6 linked regions of the Macaca mulatta genome follow. The protein of the gene in region 3 interacts with the protein of the main gene of each other region in a pairwise test. Links are inferred from orthologs where the notes say so. Each region holds a gene or a part of one and is shown on either strand. Other genes may lie near its edges.

What was found.
Region 1: the proteins of PTPN11 (region 3) and IGF1R interact in binary tests that used the Homo sapiens proteins (3 or more experiments, as listed by UniProt). The link is inferred for Macaca mulatta from reciprocal best matches to the Homo sapiens genes PTPN11 and IGF1R.
Region 2: the proteins of PTPN11 (region 3) and GAB2 interact in binary tests that used the Homo sapiens proteins (3 or more experiments, as listed by UniProt). The link is inferred for Macaca mulatta from reciprocal best matches to the Homo sapiens genes PTPN11 and GAB2.
Region 4: the proteins of PTPN11 (region 3) and RPIA interact in binary tests that used the Homo sapiens proteins (3 or more experiments, as listed by UniProt). The two-hybrid records come from large-scale screens. The link is inferred for Macaca mulatta from reciprocal best matches to the Homo sapiens genes PTPN11 and RPIA.
Region 5: the proteins of PTPN11 (region 3) and TRIM32 interact in binary tests that used the Homo sapiens proteins (3 or more experiments, as listed by UniProt). The link is inferred for Macaca mulatta from reciprocal best matches to the Homo sapiens genes PTPN11 and TRIM32.
Region 6: the proteins of PTPN11 (region 3) and TLK1 interact in binary tests that used the Homo sapiens proteins (3 or more experiments, as listed by UniProt). The link is inferred for Macaca mulatta from reciprocal best matches to the Homo sapiens genes PTPN11 and TLK1.

What each region holds. Positions count from the first base shown.
Region 1 is NC_133412.1:89,165,284-89,168,783, forward strand, and holds part of IGF1R (insulin-like growth factor 1 receptor precursor), read left to right. Parts: intron 1-2,842; coding exon 2,843-3,126; intron 3,127-3,500. UniProt on the Homo sapiens protein: Receptor tyrosine kinase which mediates actions of insulin-like growth factor 1 (IGF1). Binds IGF1 with high affinity and IGF2 and insulin (INS) with a lower affinity. The activated IGF1R is involved in cell growth and survival control.
Region 2 is NC_133419.1:78,650,759-78,654,258, reverse strand, and holds part of GAB2 (GRB2-associated-binding protein 2), read left to right. Parts: intron 1-363; coding exon 364-458; intron 459-1,889; coding exon 1,890-2,154; intron 2,155-3,349; coding exon 3,350-3,440; intron 3,441-3,500. UniProt on the Homo sapiens protein: Adapter protein which acts downstream of several membrane receptors including cytokine, antigen, hormone, cell matrix and growth factor receptors to regulate multiple signaling pathways.
Region 3 is NC_133416.1:119,689,569-119,693,068, reverse strand, and holds part of PTPN11 (tyrosine-protein phosphatase non-receptor type 11), read right to left. Parts: intron 862-3,500; coding exon 667-861; intron 1-666. UniProt on the Homo sapiens protein: Acts downstream of various receptor and cytoplasmic protein tyrosine kinases to participate in the signal transduction from the cell surface to the nucleus. Positively regulates MAPK signal transduction pathway. Dephosphorylates GAB1, ARHGAP35 and EGFR.
Region 4 is NC_133418.1:25,423,322-25,427,611, forward strand, and holds the start of RPIA (ribose-5-phosphate isomerase), read right to left. Parts: upstream 2,801-4,290; 5' UTR 2,775-2,800; coding exon 2,490-2,774; intron 1-2,489. UniProt on the Homo sapiens protein: Catalyzes the reversible conversion of ribose-5-phosphate to ribulose 5-phosphate and participates in the first step of the non-oxidative branch of the pentose phosphate pathway.
Region 5 is NC_133420.1:41,594,681-41,598,973, forward strand, and holds the start of TRIM32 (E3 ubiquitin-protein ligase TRIM32), read right to left. Parts: upstream 2,801-4,293; 5' UTR 2,720-2,800; coding exon 758-2,719; 3' UTR 1-757. UniProt on the Homo sapiens protein: E3 ubiquitin ligase that plays a role in various biological processes including neural stem cell differentiation, innate immunity, inflammatory resonse and autophagy.
Region 6 is NC_133417.1:75,961,108-75,964,607, forward strand, and holds part of TLK1 (serine/threonine-protein kinase tousled-like 1), read right to left. Parts: intron 2,886-3,500; coding exon 2,794-2,885; intron 2,712-2,793; coding exon 2,622-2,711; intron 2,465-2,621; coding exon 2,295-2,464; intron 2,109-2,294; coding exon 1,973-2,108; intron 1-1,972. UniProt on the Homo sapiens protein: Rapidly and transiently inhibited by phosphorylation following the generation of DNA double-stranded breaks during S-phase. This is cell cycle checkpoint and ATM-pathway dependent and appears to regulate processes involved in chromatin assembly.

The sequences.
Region 1 (3,500 bases), on a different chromosome or scaffold from region 3:
TCAGGAGATCGAAACCATCCTGGCTAACACGGTGAAATCCCGTCTCTATTAAGAAATACAAAAAACTAGCCGGGCGAGGTGGTGGGCGCCTGTAGTCCCAGCTACTCGGGAGGCTGAGGCCGGAGAATGGCGTGAACCCGGGAGGCGGAGCTTGCAGTGAGCTGAGATCCGGCCACTGCACTCCAGCCTGGGCGACAGAGCGAGACTCCGTCTCAAAAAAAAAAAAAAAAGATTATGTGATGTGTGAAGGCAGAGCCGCGATTGGCACTGATGTTATTAATGCACAGCATTGGTGGTGGTGGGTTCAAAACAAGTTTCCTCTATTCCACTTGAGAAGTGTGTTTATCTGTCCCCCCAGTCCTTCCTTTCTCTCTCCTAAGACAAGTCCAACTTATGATTCTCCTTTCCATGGATGTATATAAAGACAATATTTTGTTCATGGTGAGAGGCCATGCTTTATAAGAAGTTAATGTTTGTTTTTTGCCTCCTACTGAGTTCTGGCGGAGTTGGGTGAAGGAGTGTCCAGCTGACAATATGATTGAATCATAAAGGCTGGCTTTCTATCTTACAAGTGAAATGTCCGAAAACAGATTTGATTTCTTTCAATTCATTCTGAGAATAATTTATTTGTGGGATAAAACCAGTTAAGTAAGATTTAGTTCCTTATAAATTGTCCAGAATATCCTGTATGTTTTGAAGTAGAGTGGAAGCTAGAGTTTGTAAAACCAGTTTCTGAAGTCAGTATTTGGCAGTAAATGCCTTTCTTTGACTACTGTCTTTATTTTGTAAATCACATAGTTTGGTTTAACTAGCTAAAATGTTGACAGATGTTGGAAAGTAAAAGGTTTTCCAATAGGGCTAGGTTGTATCATGGGGTGGAGCGGGGAAAGTTGGCAGTAATGTTTGCTGTTGGGCACACGATTTGGAAATGTAGTTGTTTACCAAAAAATGATGTATGGGCCATTGTGCTTCCCCTGTTCCTGCCTTCCAGATAATGTTCTGTGTCACCTCCCTCCCCTTGTCACTGCCTTGATGTCATCAGCATTGAGAGCTGTGCAATCCCTAAAAGTGTGGTGTTGATAAACAAGTAAACTACTGAGTATACTTAATGATGTAATCCCTGTTAAACGTGGTGGCCGGGCTAGGAGAGGGGTTTTGACACAGAATTATTTTGCAGTGCATCAAACCTAAGCAACTTCTGACAGACACATGTGTATATTGTGTTGGTTTTGAAGGAAGGGCTGGAAATTTGTTGATGTGTTGACAAAGATTTCTGTGGCAGTAAATGTGGTTTCTTGTGTTTTTCCCTTCCAGGAAGCTTGGTTAGCTGGTTGGTTGGTTTGCAGAGTGTGAGGATTGTGGATAATCAGCCTCATGTCCTTACCCTTCCTCCCCCAGTATTGTGAAAGCAAATGTACATGCCCTGACCTTGTGGTTTTCTGCTTGTTGGAATGAACCTGTCTGTGTTGGGCAGTTTATGCCTTTGGTGGGACCCCCATGTGCCACTACACAAAGAAGGACCATGTTTTCCTCAGGGGAATCCATGGGCTGAGAAGACTAGGGAGCCAGAGGCCCTTTCCCCAAGCCCCCTGCTCTCCCCTTCCCAGGTTCTGGCCTAAGGACCAGCCAGAAACCTGCCGAGCGTCAGCCAAACCTGCAAGTGGCTTCTGGGCTGCTCCGTTCCCTGTGTGAGCTTTCCCTGTCTGCTGCTGCTGCCGCTCTCCCCTCCATGGCACTGATGAGCTTCCCATGTTCTGGACTTTCTCATTTCCCTGGGCAGATGGAATTCATCCCATTTACTCCCTGCCTTTTGCCTATTCCTAAGACCAGTGACCCCAGCCAAAGGCCTCAGCCCTGTTTTCTCACCATTGGTCCGTGGCTGACCTGAGGGTTGCCCTTTCTCCATCTGGGTGCTCCTCTCGTATTCTGTTTGTTTTTGTTGGTTCCTGTAAACATTAGGATTCTGTTTTAAGGTTTCTAGGGGGAGCCACAAAGCCCATTTTTTCGTATTTGACCAAAGCAGCAATTAGAGGGTCACATCCTCATGCCTCATCTGCCCTTTTCGGTGTGAATGTCCTCTTTGTGATGACTTTATGCACTCCCTTTTGCTTTTTGGTTGTTCCAGTCTCCATTCAAATCCATGACAAAGACTCTGCCCTCTCGTGGGCAGGACCTTGGTGAGGCCACAGGTGCTCACTGCTGAGTTGGGAGGAGGCCTGGGTGGGCTTCAGGGACCTGCAGAGTGTAGCAAGCACAGATGCTTGGGGTTGGGGGTGGGCCCGCAGCAGAAGCCCCCAAGAAGAGACCTGAGGTCCGTGGGTTGCTAGGCTCCAGGCATCTTTATTTCCACAGTCAGAGCAGATCCAAGGAGCCACCACCATAGGCTTTCATATCCCTCTGCCCCAGGTCTCTGGGGCCTCTGCCACACACCTCACCTCTCCCCTCCTGCCCTAATAAATCTTAGCGCAGCTGGTAGGTTTGCCACCTTTAATGCTTAACCGTAAGGTCTGTGACCAGATGGCTTGAGTGTTCTGATGACACAGCCAGGACTGCCTGGCCAAGAATGGCAGAGACACTGTTTGCCTCTAGGTAAAATCGAAGAACCACTCTGAGAGCCAGGGGGTGGGGGTGAGAGTTTGTGTGCCCATTCTGACACTTGCATAGTAGAAAAAGCAAGATAATGAGGAAGGACATCCCCGTGTTATTCATGCGTTCTTATCCAAGGGGGCTGAATAGCTCCTTCTATTCCATGGTTAAGATTCTTCTGTTACTCTTACTCAAGTCATAGAAAAGACGAAAGAGGTAAAAGCACTTAAAAGCCACATTTATCTCTTCCTTGCAGACCTGAAAGGAAGCGGAGAGATGTCATGCAAGTGGCCAACACCACCATGTCCAGCCGAAGCAGGAACACCACGGTGGCAGACACCTACAACATCACAGATCTGGAAGAGCTAGAGACAGAGTACCCTTTCTTTGAGAGCAGAGTGGATAATAAGGAGAGAACTGTCATTTCTAACCTTCGGCCTTTCACATTGTACCGCATTGATATCCACAGCTGCAACCACGAGGCTGAGAAACTGGGCTGCAGCGCCTCCAACTTTGTCTTTGCAAGGACTATGCCTGCAGGTACGGTATATCCGGGTGGCCCCATTGCCACCTTCCTCACAACCTAGTGGAGAAGATGTGTTTTATGGACAAAGGGTCTGACACCCAGGGCCACAACCCTTAGACTGAGGTCTGCCTGCTAAATAACGTGCGATCATTGGCAGGTGGCGTAGTAGACCAGCTGCCTAGGGAATAGAGCTCATGCTTTCCTAGTGACACCACTCCCAGCCTGGTCTCTCCGTGGAACATGCTGGGAGCAGGGAGCTGTCTGCATGGTCCGCCCTCCACCTGCTACTCGGTGCACATCGTGCACTCCCACTGTCTTTTGCCCCTCTTGTGCACAAATCGGGTTGCGGGGCCCCCCCCCAACCCCGAGCTCTGACATATTCAGAGAT
Region 2 (3,500 bases), on a different chromosome or scaffold from region 3:
GGGAAAATAAAACCAACACATATAAATCAGGACAAGTATTGTTACTGTGGTATTCAGAGAAGTGATGGCTGGGGTGAGTGGGACAGGTGAGTGCTATAGGAGTCAAAGGAGAGGTGCATAGATGAGGGTAGAGTAGTCAAGGATGGCTTCTCTGCAGATGCTAACATTGGAGCTACATCTAGAAGCCCAGGAGGATTTTTGAACTGAGGAGTGATGTGTTCGAAGAAATTCCTTATCATTTGGGGTTGAGAGTGGTATCTTCTGGAGTATCAGTAAGACCTTGAACCACACTGGTGAGGGTATGGGGAAGTGTCAACACATGAATCAACCATGAGTACATACGGATCCTCCTTCCTCTGTCAGCTTCTTCCTGTGAGACCTACGAGTACCCACAGCGTGGTGGAGAGAGTGCAGGCCGGTCTGCTGAATCCATGAGTGATGGAGTCGGCTCTTTACTGGTGAGTGTGGGTTAACCAGGGGTCCTCAGGCAGGCCTGGTTAGGTAAAAGGCCACACCTTATGGAACTAAAAGCACAACCCCAAAAAAGTGATGGCATCTCCATCTTAAGACCCTGCCCAAGTTCTTGTCTCAGTTCAGAACCCTGCGTTGAGTCTTTGGACAAGTAAGATACAAGTATTCTAGTCCGGAAGAAATGTATGTGCTAAGGTAGACTGGATTACAAGGTTCACCAACCTTATAGGTAAGCAGAGGGTCTAGAATGCAATAGACCCAGGCTGCACGGTGGGGGATCTTCTAAGGCAACAACCTTACCCACATGGCCTCACATATAGGAGGGAGGCTGCAGTGTGAGACTCCAGGCAAGGGTAGTACTCACAGTCATGCTAAGTGGCAGAATTATGGCTTGAGAGCAGGATCCCAGGCTGCCCTCTGGAAGATGCTAACACAGTTCTCCAACGTGTCAGGCAAGAAAACCAAGGCCTGGCTTCAGGCCCACTGGAAAGACAGTGAAATCAGGTAACCAAGGCAGAAGCAGCTTAGTTGTATGTCAGGGCACGTAGAACAAGAGTTAGAAGAAGGCTATAGCTTAGGGTGCTGTATTGCACAACTCTGTAGAAGCTCCAACTGCAGCTTGGTGGTCCCCTAGGTGCCTGGAGTGAGCCCCAGGTACTTAGGAACCTGGACTGGGGAAACACAACTGGCCCCAGACCTCACCTTTCAGAGCCAGGACTCCTAATATGCTCCTTGTTCTGATCCAGGGCCCGAGATGCTGACCTGCCAATGGTGAGTCTGGACTTGAGGTGGAGGGCAGGTCCTGAACCAAACCTACAGTCTATGGACTATGCTACCCACGGTGTTGGTCAGGCATCCAGAAAGCCAAGTGGACCCAGTCACCAAGAATATTTTATACTCTAGATTTATCAAAAATTATTGGTGGATGCCAAAGGATCATGAAGGCTTGAAGGGGCCCACAGACCTCATATATTCTTGTCTCCCACTCTGCTTCCTTTTATTTTTTATTTTTTGAAACAGAATCTCGCTCTGTCACCCAGGCTGGAGTGCAGTGGTGTGATCTTGGCTCACTACAACCTCAGCCTCCCAGCTTCAAGCGATTCTCGTGTCTCAGCCTCCTGAGTGGCTGGGATTACAAGCATATGTCACCACGCCCAGCTAATGCTTTGTATTTTTAGTAGAGAGGAAGTTTCGCCTTGTTGGCCAAGCTGGTTTCGAACTCCTCACCTCAAGTGATCCAACTGCCTTAACCTCCCACTACTCTGCTTTCTTATTTGGTCTCCCCAGGGTCTCCCTTACAGCTTCAAAGTGTAGCTAACCCAGTCATGACTTGTCTTGCCTAGTTTACAAAGTCTTACCTACTTCCTGTTTCTTCTTGCTAGTAACAGCTGTATTTCTTTCACTGTTCCTCTCCCTAGCCAGGGAAAATGACTGTGGGCCGATCAGACAGCACCAATTCTGAAGACAACTATGTGCCCATGAACCCAGGTTCTTCCACCCTGTTGGCCATGGAACGAGCAGGTGATAATTCCCAGAGCGTCTACATCCCAATGAGCCCAGGGGCCCATCACTTTGACTCACTTGGCTACCCATCAACAACCCTTCCTATGCACCGAGGCCCCAGCAGAGGAAGTGAGATCCAGCCACCCCCTGTCAACCGCAACCTCAAACCTGATCGGAAAGGTAAGTCCATTCTTTCCCCTGTCCCATCTCTGGACAATAGCTAGGGACTCTTTCCATTTGCTTAGGGGTCATGTGGATCCTTGGGATGTGTGACTTTGGGCAAATCATGTAAATTCTGAGTCTCAGTTTTCTTATCTGTGAAATGAAGATGGTAATTCCTACCTTCCAGGTTTGCTGTGAAGGAGAGCATCTAGGATAGTACTTTGGTACACAGCAGGCATTCAGTAAAGTCAGGTTTGTGCTCCCTGCATGTAGACCAGGCAAGTTACCAGTCTGCTGTGATCTCAAACTCTCCTGATCTTGGATTAGTGGCAAGGATTCAAAGGGAGGAGTAGGATAGCTGGGCAGAGATAGCCCCCTGTGGGTCTGACCAACAGGGAATTCAAATCTTAGCATGTGAAACTGAAGCCCTCAGGCCCTTGTGGCATCTACCTTCCTCCACTGTGGCTTGCACAGACCTGGCCAGGAGCAGCAGAGAGTAGTCACAGTGACCATCTCCACTTCAAATATGGTCTCTTGGCTGGGTGCCATGGCTCATGCCTGTAACCCCAACACTTTGGGAGGCTGAGGCGAGTGGATCACCTGAGGTCAGGAGTTTGAGACCAGCCTGGCCAAAACAGTGAAACTCCGTCTCTACTAAAAATGCAAAAATTAGCCAAGCGTGGTGGCAGGCTCCTGTAGTCCCAGCTACTAGGGAGGCTGAGGCAGGAGGATCAGTTGAACCCAGGAGGCAGAGGTTGCAGTGAGCTGAGATTGCACCACTGCACTGCAGCCTGAGCAACACAGCGAGACCCTGTCTCAAAGAAAATATATGTAAATATATATGTATATATAAATATATATTAATATCTGTATTATATATAAATATATCTTTATATATAGTCTCTTATTTTTAAATGAAGTCATAAATCGAGGGAGAAGAATCTGTTGTCAAACCCTGTGTCCTCATTTTTGATTCTGAAAATATAATTACCGTAGATACAGCAGAAAGAATATTTAATTTGGAGTCTGAAGACATGACTTCAAGGCCCATCAATATGGGCAAAGATTATATAACCTCGCTGAGCATCAGTTTCCCTGTGTGAAACTGGAATGACTTTGCAGGCCTTTATAAACATGCTCATGTGTTATATATAAGTTGTGTATGTGTAGCATTATTACTGGCTGATTACCAGACTTTCTTTTCCTGCTCCAGCAAAGCCAACACCACTTGACCTGAGAAACAACACTGTCATCGATGAACTCCCCTTCAAGTCACCTATCACCAAGTCTTGGTCTAGGGCCAGGTGAGTGCCTATGTGTGGGGGTGGGAGCTTGGAGTCAGCCCATTAGAGAAGATGAGTGAA
Region 3 (3,500 bases):
TATACAAACTAAGAGATCCTGAATTTGCACCAAGTCAGAGAGGAGACTGGGAGTGTACAAAACAAATACAATCAATAAATAAGTCAAGCCCATGCTTTCATCAGGCTAGTTCCAATACAGGGGGACAGATCTTGAAAATAACACAATTCTCTCTAAGTAAGGTCACTCTCACATAATTGTGGAGATAACATTAAAAGAATTGATGAAAAAGCTGACCCTCTGAGCTCTCTGCTTTTCCACTTCTGAGCTTAAACTGACATCTGTTGGTGGCACTGCTGAATAACTGGTCGAGAGCCACCATAGAAAACTGCTGCTATTTTGGTGTCTCCATTATCATTTGTTTTCTTCTAATAACTCTCAAAGATTATCCGCCAAAGTTCAATAAGTCTTAAAACTAATACATGTAACCAAGTATATGCAGGAATGCTATGCAATCCCCATAGGATGAGTGTAAGTAACACTGATTAAAACTTTTGCAAGAAAAAGGTACTCTGAAAATAATTTGATGCTATTAGTCTCACTTTAATAATTCTTTAAAGATTACAGCTCAAAAAACAGTCACAAGCCTTTGGAGTCAGAAAGTCATACACAGACCTCAGTCATGCATTTCTGACACATAGGGCACAAGGGAGCAGCAGACTTTGTGGTCACTAAAATGTTACTGACCTTTCAGAGGTAGGATCTGCACAGTTCAGAGGATATTTAAGCTCAATAACATCTCCATTCTTCTCTTTTAATTGCCCGTGATGTTCCATGTAATACTGGACCAACTCTGCCAAAGTGGCAAATTTCTCCCCTCCATACAGGTCATAGTAATCACCAGTGTTCTGAATCTTGATGTGGGTGACAGCTCCATTTCTTCTAAAATAGTCCATTGGAAAGGGAGGCAAGGGGACAAATAACGAGTTACACCAGTAAAATCAGATCTCATGTTCCACGTCAGACTTCATCTAAATGTTGAAAGAAACCCAAGAAACGAATTTACCCATTCCCTATAAGAAATATGATGGGTGAAATAACCACATAATCAACCAACTCAACACAAAGGTCTTTTTGTTTACCTTGCATATGTTTGCTCTTGTTGCCCAGGCTGGAGTGCAATGGCGTGATCTTGCCTCACTGCAACCTTCGCCTCCCAGGTTCAAGCAATTCTCCTGCCTCAGCCTCCTGAGAAGCTGGGATTACAGGAATGCGCCACCACGCTCGGCTAATTTTGTATTTTTAGTAGAGATGGGGCTTCTCCATTTTGGTCAGGCTGGTTTCAAATTCCTAACCTCAGGTGATCCACCCACCTCAGGTGATCCTCCCAAAGTGCTGGGATTACAGGCGTGAGCCACCACGCCCGACCTATCTGGTATATCTTCTATTTTGAAAGACTGGCCTATCGAATTGCATATATTAAGTAACAATAACTGAATAGCTACCAAAAACCATTTTGCTTTTTAATCATAAAAATGTATAAACAAATTGTGTTACATTACTATTCATACAATGGAATACTATGCATTGCAAAAATTGCTGTTACTATTCATGCAATGGGATACCATGCAGCAATTTGTTTGTTTTGTTTGTTTGTTTGCTTTTTTGTTTTTGAGACAGAGTCTCACTCTGTCGCCCAGGCTGGAGTACAGTGGCACAATCTCGGCTCACTGCAAGCTCCACGTCCCAGGTTCACGCCCTTCTCCTGCTTCAGCCTCTCAAGTAGCTGGGACTACAGGTGCCCGCCACCATGCCAGGCTAATTTTTTTTGTATTTTTAGTAGAGACAGGGTTTCACCCTGTTCGCCAGGATGGTATCCGTCTCCTGACCTCGTGATCTGCCCACCTCTGCCTCCCGAAGTGCTGGGATTACAGGCATGAGCCACCGTGCCGGGCTACTATGCAGCAATTAAAAAAAAAAAAAAAAAAAGATAGCCAGGCACAGTGGCTCACGTCTGTAATCCCAGCATTTTGGGAGGCTGAGGTGAGAGGATCACCTGAGGTCAGGAGTTCGAGACCAGCCTGGCCAACACGGTGAAACCCCGTCCCTACTAAAAATACAAAAATTAGCCAGGCGTGGTGGCGGGCACCTATAATCCCACCTACTGGGGAGGCTGAGGCAGGAGAATTGCTTTAACCTGGGAGGCAGAGGTTGCGGTGAGCTGAGATCACGCCACTGCACTCCAGCCTGGGCAACAAGAGTGAAACTCTGACTCAAAAAAAATAAAAATAAAAATAAAAAGACACATGTAATTTTAAAGACACATGTAATGACACAGTTTTGAATATGAGGTAGTGTTATCCCAAAGCACAAAACAATATATGCAAAAGGTTACTACATTCATGGAGGCATTATGTATCATTTTAAAATACTGGACACAACTAAATCGCTACCTGCTGGTGACAGTATATAGAAGTTATGAAATATTCACATGATAGAATGCTATCCAGCTGATTAAAAAGATGAGAGAGATCACTAAAAGATTTAGGTAAGTGAAAAAAAATTACAAAGAAATATATTTAATGTTCTACTTGATGTGTAAAAATAAAAGGAAAATAGTAATAAAAATATAAATTTGCTTATTTTTGTAAAAAGAAACATAGGGCTGGGCATGGTGGCTCATGCCTATAATCCCAGCACTTTGGGAGGCCGAGGCAGGCAGATCCCTTGAGGTCAAGAGTTTGAGATTAGCCTGGACAACATGGTGAAACCCCATCCCTACTAAAAATACAAAAATTAGCTGGGCACGGTGGTGTAATCCCAACTACTTAGGTGGCTGCGTCATCAAAATCACTTGAACCCAGGAGGCGGAGGTTGCAGGGAGCTAAGATTGTGCCACTACACTCCAGTCTGGGCAACAGAGCAAGATTGTCTCAAAAAAAAAAAAAAAAAAAAGAAAGAAAAAGAATGAAAGAAACACATAAGAATAAACAAGAAATTAATAGAAATGGCTACCTACAGGATGGAGATAGTGTGGTACAAAGGAGTAGGAGTAAGAATGAGATTTCTCAGGCCAGGCGCGATAGCTCACGCCTGTTACCCCAGCACTTTGGGAGGCCAGGCAGGTGGATCACTTTAAGTCAGGAGGTCAGGACCAGCCTGGCCAACATGGTAAAACCTAGTCTCTACAAAAAAATACAAAAATTAACCGGGCATGGTGGCACATGCCTGTAATCCTAGCTACTCAGGAGGCAGAGGCAGGAGAACTGCTTGAACCCAGGAGGCTGAGGTTGCAGTGACCCAAGATTGTGGCCACTGCACTCCAGCCTAGGCGAAAGAGCGAGACTTTGTCTCAAAAAAAAAAAAAAGTCAGGCATGGTAGCTCATGCCTGTAATTCCAGCACTTTGGGAGGCCAAGACAGGTGGATCACCTGAGGTCAGGAGTTTGAGACCAGCCTGGTCAACACGGTGAAACCCCATCTCTACTAAAAATACAAAAATTAGCTGGGCATGGTGGAACACACCTGTAATCCCAGCTACTCTGGAGGCTGAGGCGGGAGAATGGCTTGAACCCAGGAGGC
Region 4 (4,290 bases), on a different chromosome or scaffold from region 3:
TCATTCAATCACCAGATTCCTGGTTACCAAGCTTAGCCATACATTCAGGTCACTCACAGTCCCCAGCAGGCAGGTGGCACAGAGGTGAATTCGGATGAATCAGACAAGCTCTGTGTAAGGTTCCTTCTTTGCCTTTTGGAAGAGACCAGGAATTGCAAGGCCCTGCCAGGCCTAAAGCTCTTCAACCATGTGATCCCTGCTGCCTTGGAATCAAATGACTGGCCCAGGAATCAGTGTCTTTGCCAAAGCCAACCAGAGGTGACCAAAGGCTGCCTATGAGGTGGCCCAACAGCAGAAGACTGCCAAGCAGGCCCTGCTAGAGGAGTGGCCCCATTCTAATGGGCAATATTAAACCACACGTATATGCAACATCAGAACTTCCCTCAGCTTGTCAAATGGAGTAACTCTGGAAATACTACTTCTGCTAACCAACTAGAACCACCGCCCATCAGCTTCCTCAACCAAGCCAGTCAAAAAAACAAAGCCTAGGCTCCAAAGAGAACAAAGGGATGAGGCTACAGACGTTCAGAAGAGCCTAGTTCTGAATGGCGGCCCATCCTGGGTAGCTACACCCCCAGAAACAGACAGAGCTGGGCCCAGGGTGGCTATACAAAGGATTCACCTGAGAACTCTCCATGTTTTCCATCCACCCAGACATGGAAGTGGTCGACATATTGGAACTCCAATGGACTAGGGAACAGGAAGCCCTACTCGCCAGAGATTCTACACAAAGAACCTCCAATAACCCCAACACTTTCATATTTGTGTCCACACTGCACACAATTGAACATACATGTACTGGGCAGGCCCCATTGTGACCAATGCTAAATGAAAGTTAACTGCCCTCCAGGAGCTTACCGTTTAAGGGGCTGGAAGAAATGAACACACAGATGACCAAAATATAAGATACAACATAAAGCACATAAGAGGCGTGAAGTGCTACAGAATCGCGGAAAAGAATTCTTCCTCTCCTTAGGACGCTAAGGAAAAACTGAAAGGAGGAAATGGACTTTAAGCCAAACCCTGAAGGGCATATATGCCTTTAACAGGTGCCCCCAAAAGGTCACTGTAGATCTCCCCAAAATCGCCTAACTTCATGAAATGTGGTCAGAATCCAGTGTTTTGGGGCTCTAGCCTAAGGTCAGGGCCTGAAGATTTTTATTTAATCAAATACATAACTATAACACAAAGGTCAGGGAGATGTGCCACCAAATATTAACATAAATTCATTAACTGAACAACTTAGATACGGTGCTTTTCTAATTGTATTCTCATGCGGATTACATTTAACTATTAGCTATTCACTTTATGCAGACATTTTGAAATTTCAGCTTATTGTCTCACTTTTACAACTGAGGCACTGAATCTCAACGGTAGGGTCAAATTAACACATTTTACATTATCTCTGTTAATCCCCATAGAAAATCCTATTGCCAATCAGACTTGCAACAGGCTACACCAGAACAGGGTAGCAGTGGAAAGGGTAGAAGGGAACACTGGAACATCCCTCCCACAGAACTGGCTGAGCCACAGGTTACCACACTGTCCACTCCCACTCAAACACGCTGTGGTGAAGCTCATCAAACATCATCTAAGCAAAATAATTTTGTTGAGTAAAGCATTAACAAATGTAAAGAACTATTATCAGAGAAGAAAAGAGACTCTAATACCACTTTCTAATAAGTAGAAATGAGAAATAAAAAACCAGTAAGACCAAGGAAACTACACCACAGGGCAGACATACTCTACTTGGCTTCCTTATTACAAATAAGATAATTAACTTGATTGCTGACAGCAAAACCACCTGGATCAAAAAAAAAAAAAAAAAAACTCCACTAACAGCACCATGCCACTTAACAAACAAGTAGGGACCACGACCTGGCCGAATAACAGCTAAACATCTCTGCAGCCCCGCCTTAAAAAATAAACCAGCATCCTCCAGACTTAGTCCACCCCGCCCTATGGAAAGAAGGAAGTTTGAAGTCCCGGTCTTCCCTTCCCTCCAGGAGTTCACTCAGGGGCCGGCGCGCACCAAGCCCAGAACCACATTCGACTGAAATTTCAAAGCACTAGCAAACCAACTCTCCGCCGGCTTCCGGGTCAGTAACGAGAAATGAAAACCTCTCCGCAGTCCCAAAGCCCACCATTTTCCATTTATTGATAAGGAGACCACAAGGCAAGTGCCTCTAGCCCCCATTCCAAACATGAGACAACACCAGGCTCCACTTTGCAAACTGTTCCAGCTAGACAAGGAGTCTTTCGAAACCTCAAATATTAGAAGATTCGCCCCCAACCGATTCCACATCTAAAAGGTCTCTAAAGAGCAAGGAAGAGGGGTCTAAACTCGGGTAAAATGCACACTCTCTACCCTCTCACTCAGCCCCCGCCCTGCCAGGAGGTAGGCGCGCCTCGGCAGCACCCAGAAAGCGCAACAGGAGCCCAACACGCCGAGGACATGCTTCCCGCGCCCCACGTCCCCAGGTGCTCACCCTCACGTGGTTCTCCACGGCCGCGCGGCCCGCCAGCTTCTTGGCCTCCTCGGCTTTGGACATCGTGGAGGGGGCCGGGCAGATGCTGCTGGAGTCCCCGCAGCTGGTGCTTGTGTTGCCAGCACCGCCACGGGTCCCGGACTGTGCACGCCCCGGCAGCCGCACGTGGGAACCCGGGAGGTCCCAGCTGTTCCCTCCTCCGCCAGAGGCCGCGCCCCCGGCCCTCCCGGGCAGCGGGGCCAAGACCCGCCCGTAGAGGGTGCTGAAGGGCCCGGGGCGCTGCATCCCGACACCTCGCTCCGGCCTCCGCTGAAGTCCCGCCCCCGGCTCCCCCGGAAATCTGGTCGCTTACGCACACACTCTGCGTGCCCTGCTGCGCGGGCCCTGCTGGGAAGTGTGGTTCTATGGCTTCGAGGACCGCTATCTGCGCCTCAGTCTGGACTACCAACCCCATAATGCTCTCCGCGACGAGATGCGCAATCGCCGGCGACGGGCTCCGGCACTTCGCTCTGTGGGAGTATCAGTGTGGTGACTGCTTACCCGGGGGAAGTGTTCTCAGGGCACGATTAGGTGAAGGCCAGGGATATTTCTGTTCGCCCATGCATCCGAGAAAGGAGTGTTAGACCTGACCCTGTTGTTTCTCCCAGCAGTGAGAACGTGGCCATGGACGAGAATTCCAAGTAGTGGCACTTCTGTAGACGTCGCGGCCCTTTTGGGGTTACTACTACCCAGGAAACTCACATGCGACACGGGCGCCAGCTGAAGTCCATCTAGACCCCCGCAGACCCAAGGTCACAAGTTGAGAACTCCCTGCCGTAGACATTCTTCTGCACCTAGTGGTGGAGCAGGTGGAGCTGCACCTTGCACCGCCCATTTGGAGACTGGTTCTGTACAGATGAGTGTGCCCTGCTGCGATCCTGCAATCTTTGGTGACTAACAAGGACTTACTGTGAAAACAGATTTATCTTTTCTTCTCTACCTTTAAGGTTTCTTGCTGTGGAGAATAGTTAAGGGACGAGGAATTCTTATTGTCCCCATTTTACAGGCAAAGAAACTAATACTGACCCCAACCTTACCGACCACTTGGAGGTCCCTAAAAACACATGACCTTTGCGTTTCTCCGCTGTTAGTGGAATCCTTTCTGTCTGCTCATGAACTCATCTTCAAACGCATTCCAGGCCTTCAAAACTCTTCTGTGAGCGCAAGTCCCTGGTATGGGCCACTGTTAACTGCCGCTTATCACCTGGATTTTCTTATCTGTGCTTTGCCCCCTGAGGCTGTGAGCTCCTGAATCTTCACCTTTGTCTGTAGGAGGAAAAGTTGTTTGAGATGATATTTGAATCCTTCAATTTAGGCCAAATTCAGAACATAGCAGAAGGTTCTGGCTAACATGCAGAAGCGTATGACTGGACTCCCATTACTGTTGGTCTGCAAAGTTGAAGGCTACTGTAGGCAAATGTGTCACCTTTAATGTATCTCCTTAGGAGCAGTCTTTCACCTTATTCATGCTCCTCGGCACCCACACCAAAAGATTGATGAAGCAAATGGTAGCTAGTCTCTGCTTTACCCCGTCACCCCTGGCCTGAGGACCTTTGAACCATTTTAAATGCTCTACCTGCCAGCCTGGCCATCTATGCACTGCTTGCTCCATCTACCCTTCTGACTCAGCTGAAATACCACCTTCTCAAAGAAGTCTAAGTGACCACCTCATCTAAATTGGGTTTCCTACCCACCCCTCCTCTATCACTTTGCCCATGGTTGTATTTCCATTACAGAACTTCCATCCATCATTCATTTCCTT
Region 5 (4,293 bases), on a different chromosome or scaffold from region 3:
TAGCTTCCTATGCTTTGGCATAATTCCAATCCATATTATGCTTCTTTAAAAGGCAAGCAATTTCCAGGCTGAAGTCGTCAATACCAACCAACTAGGGTCAATCCATTCTGTCACATCTGCAGTTCTCAATCCAAGATGGCACAGATCCTCCAGGCGAGAGGTACTGCTTCCTAAAGGGCCTGTGTATCCCCTTTGGTAGCACTAAATGAATGAGCTTTCACACTGGTAAAGACGATCAGACTGAGACATAATGTTACAGGAATATGTCTGAAATGTCACTGAAAGGTGGAGCATATCCCACTGAAGCATGCACAGTGAATCCAATCAGAGTTGAAGAGAAAGTGTCACAGATGAAGCACATTGTAATAGGAAGGAAACAATGGATCAAGGGCATCAGAGCCAAACGGGAAAAAATCAAGGATTTAATACAAGGGCACATTTCAAACATGGCACAAAGGGCTAAAGTGGCTCTCTCTACTAAAGCCTTGGAAGTGCCTAATTGCTAATCAAACTTCAGCTAACACCATTGCGTGTCCTATTTGGGCAGTGCATCTTTTAAAGCTCTAAATTTAGGTGGGAAGTGGGGAGGGGAAAATAACAAATAAAAAACATAAAAAGATGGAGCTTCTAAAGTTCTAGAACTACCCAGCTGGAATCAGGACATATGCCGAGTCTATTCTCTATGTGCCACTAACAACCAAGAACTATGGGAAGGGAAGCTGGCTTGGGAGCAGAAGAAAATGATATTTCTCATCCCCTATGGGGTGGAGTATCTTCTCAGATGGTAGCTGTAGATCTTGATGCAATGATCCCAACAGTCCAAGACCAGCAGCTGCCCCTTAGGAGTGAGGGCTATGCCCACCGGACAAGTAAGTCCCTCTCGAATAAGGACACTATAGCCCCCACCCTTAGGAAAATGGAGAATTTCCTTGCGACTACTGTCAGCCACAATGAGATCACCACGAGCATCCACACACATGCCAGCAATGCAGCGGAAATCCTCATTCTCCGAGAAGAAGTGGCTAATCTGGCGACCCAGCTGCCCATCGGGACCTACAGAACCAATGGAAAAGCCACCTTCCAGGTGGTGCTCATTCTGTCGATTCTCCAGATTGAGGCCTAAGCCCTGGGTGAAGTAGACGGTGCCCTCAGCATCACAGGTGACAAATTTGGGCCGCACAGCACTGCACAGGCAGCTGTATTTGACCACCCCTGATCCTCGATCAACTGTGAAACACCAAAGCTTTCCACCTTCCACATCAGTTACTACAAACTGGCCAGATGGCAGGGCTGTGATACCCCATGGTTTGCTCAGCTGGCTCCTGTGACAGGCCACACAGTGGCCATCCAAGGTATATACCTTGAGGGAGTTATCATAGCTGTCAGTCACACCAATCAGCCCCTGGCAGTTCATTGCCACTGAGAGAGGAGTGAGGTTGGGTAGATCCGCCCCAAGAAAGCTTAGCACAAAGCTATCAATGCCACTGGGGCTGCGGCGGATTTCCTTCAAAAAGCCTTTGCGGGTAAAGACTTGTATACGATAGTTACCACGGTCAGCAACTAGCACTTCACCTTGACTGGTCACGTAGAGACTGACTGGTAGATTGAACATTCCTGGAGTGCTGCCTTTGGCCCCCATCTTCTTGAGAAAGAGGCACTGCTGGATATTGGAGGCTGCCTCAGGACCCCGCTGTTTAGCAGGTGAGGCCCTAGGGCTGGCAACCACTTCCTCCGGGCTCATGTCCATCTCTCTAAATGTAACAGAGGTAGAAGCAGCAGAGGCTGCCGCCTCCATGGCCCAGGAATCTTCCATGTTAACTGTCCGGGGCTTCTTAACAGCTTGCCCAATTTGGAGGGGGCCAACATGACCTACCTTAAGGAGCTCCACATCTTGCAGGGTGAGCTCCCGAGGTAAGCTGGCAGTAAGCTCTGGCTCCTCCTCATCAGCTGTCTCCTCCAGGAGTGCTACATCTGCTTGCTTGATCTTGGCCAGGAAGTAGTCACAGCGAGACACAGCCTGCACCTCTGCAATGTTAAGAAGGTAACTCTGCTCCTCTACCACTTGACTATTGGACTTCTCAACTTCAGCCAAAGAGCCTGTGAAGAATTTCCGAGAGCGAGCCAGCTCATCCTGGACCCTGCGTTCCTCGTGTCCATACTCCTGGAGAACTGCTTTATACCTTGCCTGAAGGTCCTTGGAGACACCTTCCAAGGCTACCTTCCGCCGCTGCAGCTCCCCCATAAGTTCCCGCAGACGAGTCAACTTCTCTCCAAAGTCCCGACGCCGCTCCTCAGCGGCTTCTTTGACAGGGAGTGTACAGTGGCCAGGAGGCTGATGGTCTGCCTCCCGGCAGGGCTCACATAACACCAAACCACAGCTCCGGCAGAACTGCCGGGGCAGACGCCGCCCACAGGACCGACACATGAGCAGCCCCACAGCCTCGCTGAGCCCAGCTGTATCAATGATCTTTAGCACTGTCAGATTGTCTGTCAGCTGGGTCAAGCTGGTTATGCGGGTAATCTTGCTGCAAAAGGGACAGCGGACACCATTGATGCTACTGGCCAATAGCTTCTCCAGGCACTGGCGGCAGATGGTATGGCCACAGTGCAGGAGCTTGGGACGCAGCTGCTCTTCTGTGAAGGACTCCATGCAGATGGGGCATTCTAGCACTTCCCGGAGGGCATCCAGGTTCAGGTGAGAAGCTGCTGCTGCAGCCATTGCTATTCCTTTGAAGGGTACTGCTAGCACAGCTCAGAACTGAACAGCACAGTATTCATGCCCTAGAGGGTAAAATTCCTGCTAAAGAGAAAAAGAAACCATTATTCATTTTCCTCTGATTATATAAATCAATTCACTCAAGAAACATTTAGAGAATAGCTATGATCAGTCGTTCAGTCATTCACTTACTTAACTATTTTATTGAGGTCTATTATGTGTCATGTGAGGGTGACAGGGAAACAAACAAGACAAAACACTGCATAGAGGGTAATAATTCAGATTCTGGAATCTCAGACACTTACTTAGTTGCATGACCATAAGGAAGTAACTCAAACTTCCAAAAGCTCTTTCCCCATCACTCATCTGTAAAATAGAAAAATGGTGTCTACCTTATTCTATTATTGTAGAACAATCTATTATTGTAGAATAATGGTTATTGTAAGGGCTAAATAACAAGATAAATATGATGTGCTTAGTATATAGCACCAGGGAAGTAGTATACTTTAATAAATGCTAATGATTACTTTCATATTTGGTGAGTTTTACAACTTACAGTTTACACTAACAGAAAAGCACAGGAGAATTACGCACAGTAAAAGGAGTAAGTGTGACATGCAGGTCCACATAATGTTCTGCTGGAGTACAGTGGATGGAATGATAGATTCCACCTAACAGACTTGGGGAAGGCTTCCCAAAAGCAGTTTCACTCCTAAGATAAAGAAATGAAGGACTGAGGGATAAAGGTACTTTAAGCAAAGAAAACCATGTAAGCAAAAGTGTGGAGGCTGTTTTTTTTTTTTTCATCATGTCATAGAGTTTACTGTGTCATGTTTGGGGCCCTAGGAATCATCCACAGACTTAGAAAATTGTGATGATTAGCTTTAGGTAATCTGCAAAACATTAGATCAGAAAATACACATTTTCCATGCATCTATCCTCCTACCTACTCATCTATCCACCCATCTAAGTTTAGGTATCTTGTTCTGTACTAGATACAAGAGGTCTTCAGGATACAGATCCTGCTCTTCAGATATTCAAACTTTATAAAAGACAAGACATGTAGGCAAATAATAATGAAGGCAGAAAGTAGTACTATAAATGAAATAAAAACTAAGTTTGATGGGGGTTGAGGAGTCATTCTAATTTGAAGGGACACAGAATTTTCAAAAGGAAGATGACATTTTATATTGGCCTGGAAAGAAGCATAAACACACGGAGAGGGAAGAAAGGAGGCGGCAAAAGGCACAACCTTAACAAAGTTTAAAAGGCAAAGGAAAGGACAAGAAGTTTCATGTATTAGGAAGAAAACAGAGAATATTTAAAATCTATGCATTTTATTTTCTCCATCTTTAAAATAATAATTTTTAAAATAATAAAGACAGTGGAAATAATACTGTCTTTACAGAGTTAATGTAAGAATTAAATAATCTATAGAGTATATAGAATGCTAAGATTTGGCTCTGCACAAAAAAAGCCTTAAATGAATTTTAGTTCTCTTTTTTATTATCCTTAGATTAAAACAGTGGGAGTATATATGGGGAATAGAGTAACAGGCTTGGAAAGGTAAATTGGGG
Region 6 (3,500 bases), on a different chromosome or scaffold from region 3:
TCAAACTCCTGACCTCAAGTGATCCGCCCACCTCAGTCTCCCAGAGTGCTGGGATTACAGGCGTGAGCCACCACCTCCAGCCAAATTTTTCAATATTTTTAGGCCACATGGTTCGTCAGTGAGATTTTTCAAATTGTTGCAAATCTCCAAAAAATTTTCCAATGTATTTATCGAAAAAAAAAGCCACATAAAAGTGGACCCATGCATTTCAAATCCATTTTATTCAAGGTCAGCTGTACATAGCTAAACAACTAATATGACTGTAGACATAAACCAATTTTTGGACCACAGATTTCCCTGAGAAATACATTCCATGTCCTTATATAACAATGCCATCATTGTATCTCCTTCCAGTACAGACCCTAAAACATAAGGTCTTTGTCTCTTGACTATCTGTAAAAGGGAAATTTCCTTGTCCTTCCCTATACTAGTGAAGCCAGAGTGAGAGAGAAACAAATATTGAGAATGTCCTGTAGAGGAAGAATAATTTATTATTTAGAACATGGTTTTCAAGCTATCTTCCATGGAATCTAAGAATCTACCAGGATGCTTTGTTTTTGTTGGTTTTGTTGATTAGAGTAAGATTTTGTTGTTAAAAAAAAAAAAGAGCCTTGTTGCTAAAAAAGTCCAAAGACTTTGAGAATATTGACTTTCAGGGGGTTAGCAGTTTGAATAGTTTTCTTAAAATATGAATAAAAAATTCATGACATTCTTATCTTATCCATGTTCCTAGGAAATGCCACAAGCCAAATTTAAAATTTTAAAGTGGCTTTAAAAGAATACACGAATATGACTAATCCCTGCTCATTAAAAGTGGTATCTATACAGACCAGCGGCATCATGTGTAACTGGTTATGATGTGCTCAGGCTGTGTGAACACTGTTCTGGAAAACCTGAGGTCACATTTATGTTCGTAGTCACAATCCCGTTTCAATGAACTTGAACGCAGTTATCTTTCTTCCCATTAAAATGTCACTGTTTATGCTAATTTTCTCTGAGAATTAAGTTTGTTCTGAAATTTTATAGTTTATGTTCTCCACTCTGGTGAATTTAACAAGTTTGAAAATTCACGCTGAAGCAGTTTCTGTGAACATGTAGGTATACTGAGGGGGATGACAGTCATTTAGATTTGTATCTATGAATCTGTGATTATATCTAAATTTAAATCTATACATACTAAGTCTTTAAAAGGGATTTCTGAAAGTCAAGTCCAAAGAATATGTCAAATTTATCTCCCATTCACAACCAACAAAACATCCATCTTCCACAAAAACCACCAGGCAGGTGCAGTGGCTCATGCCTCTAATCCAAGCACTTTGGGAGAGGCAGATCACTTGATACTAGGAGTTCAAGACCAGCCTGGGCAACAAATTAAGACCTTGTCTCTACAAAAAATTTAGATTAGCTGGGCATAGTGGTGCGTACCTGTGGTCTCAGTTACTCAAGAGTAAGTGGGCGGATTGCTTGAGCCTAGGAGTTTGAGGCTGCAGTGAACTAAGATTATACCACTGCACTCCAGCCTGGGTGATAGGGCAAGACCCTGTCTCAAAATAAAACGAAAATCCCTGCAACCATATAACCTCCACAGAGAGGGCTTGATGCTTGCAGTTTTTGCTTGCAATAGTTAAAATATTATATTAACGTACGTATTCATATTTATGATAAACATCACCTTAACATTGTAGAAGAAAACCCATGAATGAATTCTTCCTGTTAGGAGTTTCTGACTGGCAGGTACTGAAGTCACTTGTTAATGCCAAGTCATTCTCTCTCCAGTATGCTGTTATTTGCAGTAAGAACAGATGAGAAGAGGAATGACCACAGAAGTCTCCCTCTCAACTGAGAGTTTAATATCAGTACCTTTTACCACAGTAATCTTAATGGCCACATGGAAAAAAAAAAAACCTAAATTTTATCATAAAAGCACTGGGCACTAATCTAGACATTCTGATGTTTTTAGTAATATACTTACCAGTAAGTGCCTGCCCCCTGAGAAGTTAGATCCATTCCATCTACACCATAGCTATCATCATCCATAATCTTGGACAGACCAAAATCAGTGATTTTGATTTCACCACATGCTGTTCCATCTACCAGTAGGATGTTTCCTAAGAATAAAATATAAGATTATTTTAATGATACATAGATGAAAAACATAACTTTAGTAACTTTAAATTTTACTAGTATTCTACTGATGTCTTAAAAGTGAAACCAAAAATCATGTTTTCAGATAACTTAATGACTTTAAAAAACTATACTCGTTTTAAAAAAAATTAGACAAATTTCATAATTACCTGGCTTAAGATCATAATGTATAATAGGGGGTTTGATCTCATTGAGATATCTTAGTGCATTTACAATCTGCATTACAATAGACCTAGCTTCTTTCTCTGACATTAACTTGTGTTGCTTCAGATAGAAATCCAAGTCATTGCCTTCACAGTATTCTAACACTGTACAAAACCTACAACAGAGAAGAGAAAAGAAATTAGACATAAGTATTATCCAAGAATTCAGAATCACAATGGGGAAATGGAGAGTATTTATATCATCAACACAGGATGGGGAAAGACAGAGTAAGCATATCCTTCCTTAAAAATTAAACCTTAATATTCACTTACGTATCTGTATCCAAGGAGAAATAATCATAGAGTTTAACTATTCTGGGGTGATCCAGTTCTTTATGTATTCTATACTCTCTGCAGGCATGTCTACAGGAAGACAGTGTATTAATTCTCCATGACCATTCAAAAAATATTCAATTAAAAAAAACCATAAAGTATTAGTATTTACTTGTGGTAGTTTTCTTTCTTCTCATCTCTCCAGCTTTTATTAAGCTGATGTATCTTCACAGCAGCATATCTTTGTTCATATAGGTCAAAAGCCTAGGATTTCAAGTCAAACACAATTAAGATGAAAGACCAACTGAATACCTGAAGAGATGTTTTTTATTTTGGTGATAATTTTTGCAATAATATGGAACTAGGACAAACCCTACAATTATTAATTATCTTCTCTGCTAAGACTATATATAGTTCAATGACACTTTTATTATCAGAAGACAAAAATTCCATGGTAATAAATCAGAAAAAACCTTAATGTGAATTTTCACATTAAATTTTATAAATGCCAATATACTGAATAGAAATAAAACAATAAAGCTATTATTGGTTTTTAATATGGATTTATTCCTCTATACTGGTAGTAAGCAGCCAGGAAAACAGACTGTACCACTTTTTTTTAGGTCGGATAAAACCTCTTAAATCTATCTTTTCCTAGCAATGCCCTACTTCTTTTTCACTTTTTAGAAAAATTAAATAGTTCCTAACAGTTATTTTTCCAACTGTTGAAAAAAAATTCTACAGTTATTATAAAACTGTTCAAACATATACAAAAGTAGACTACTATAGTAGTCTACCACCCAGTTACGCCCCACCACCCAGTTTCAAAAATTATCAATATTTTGCCATTCTTGTTTCATCTATTCCCTACTACCCTTG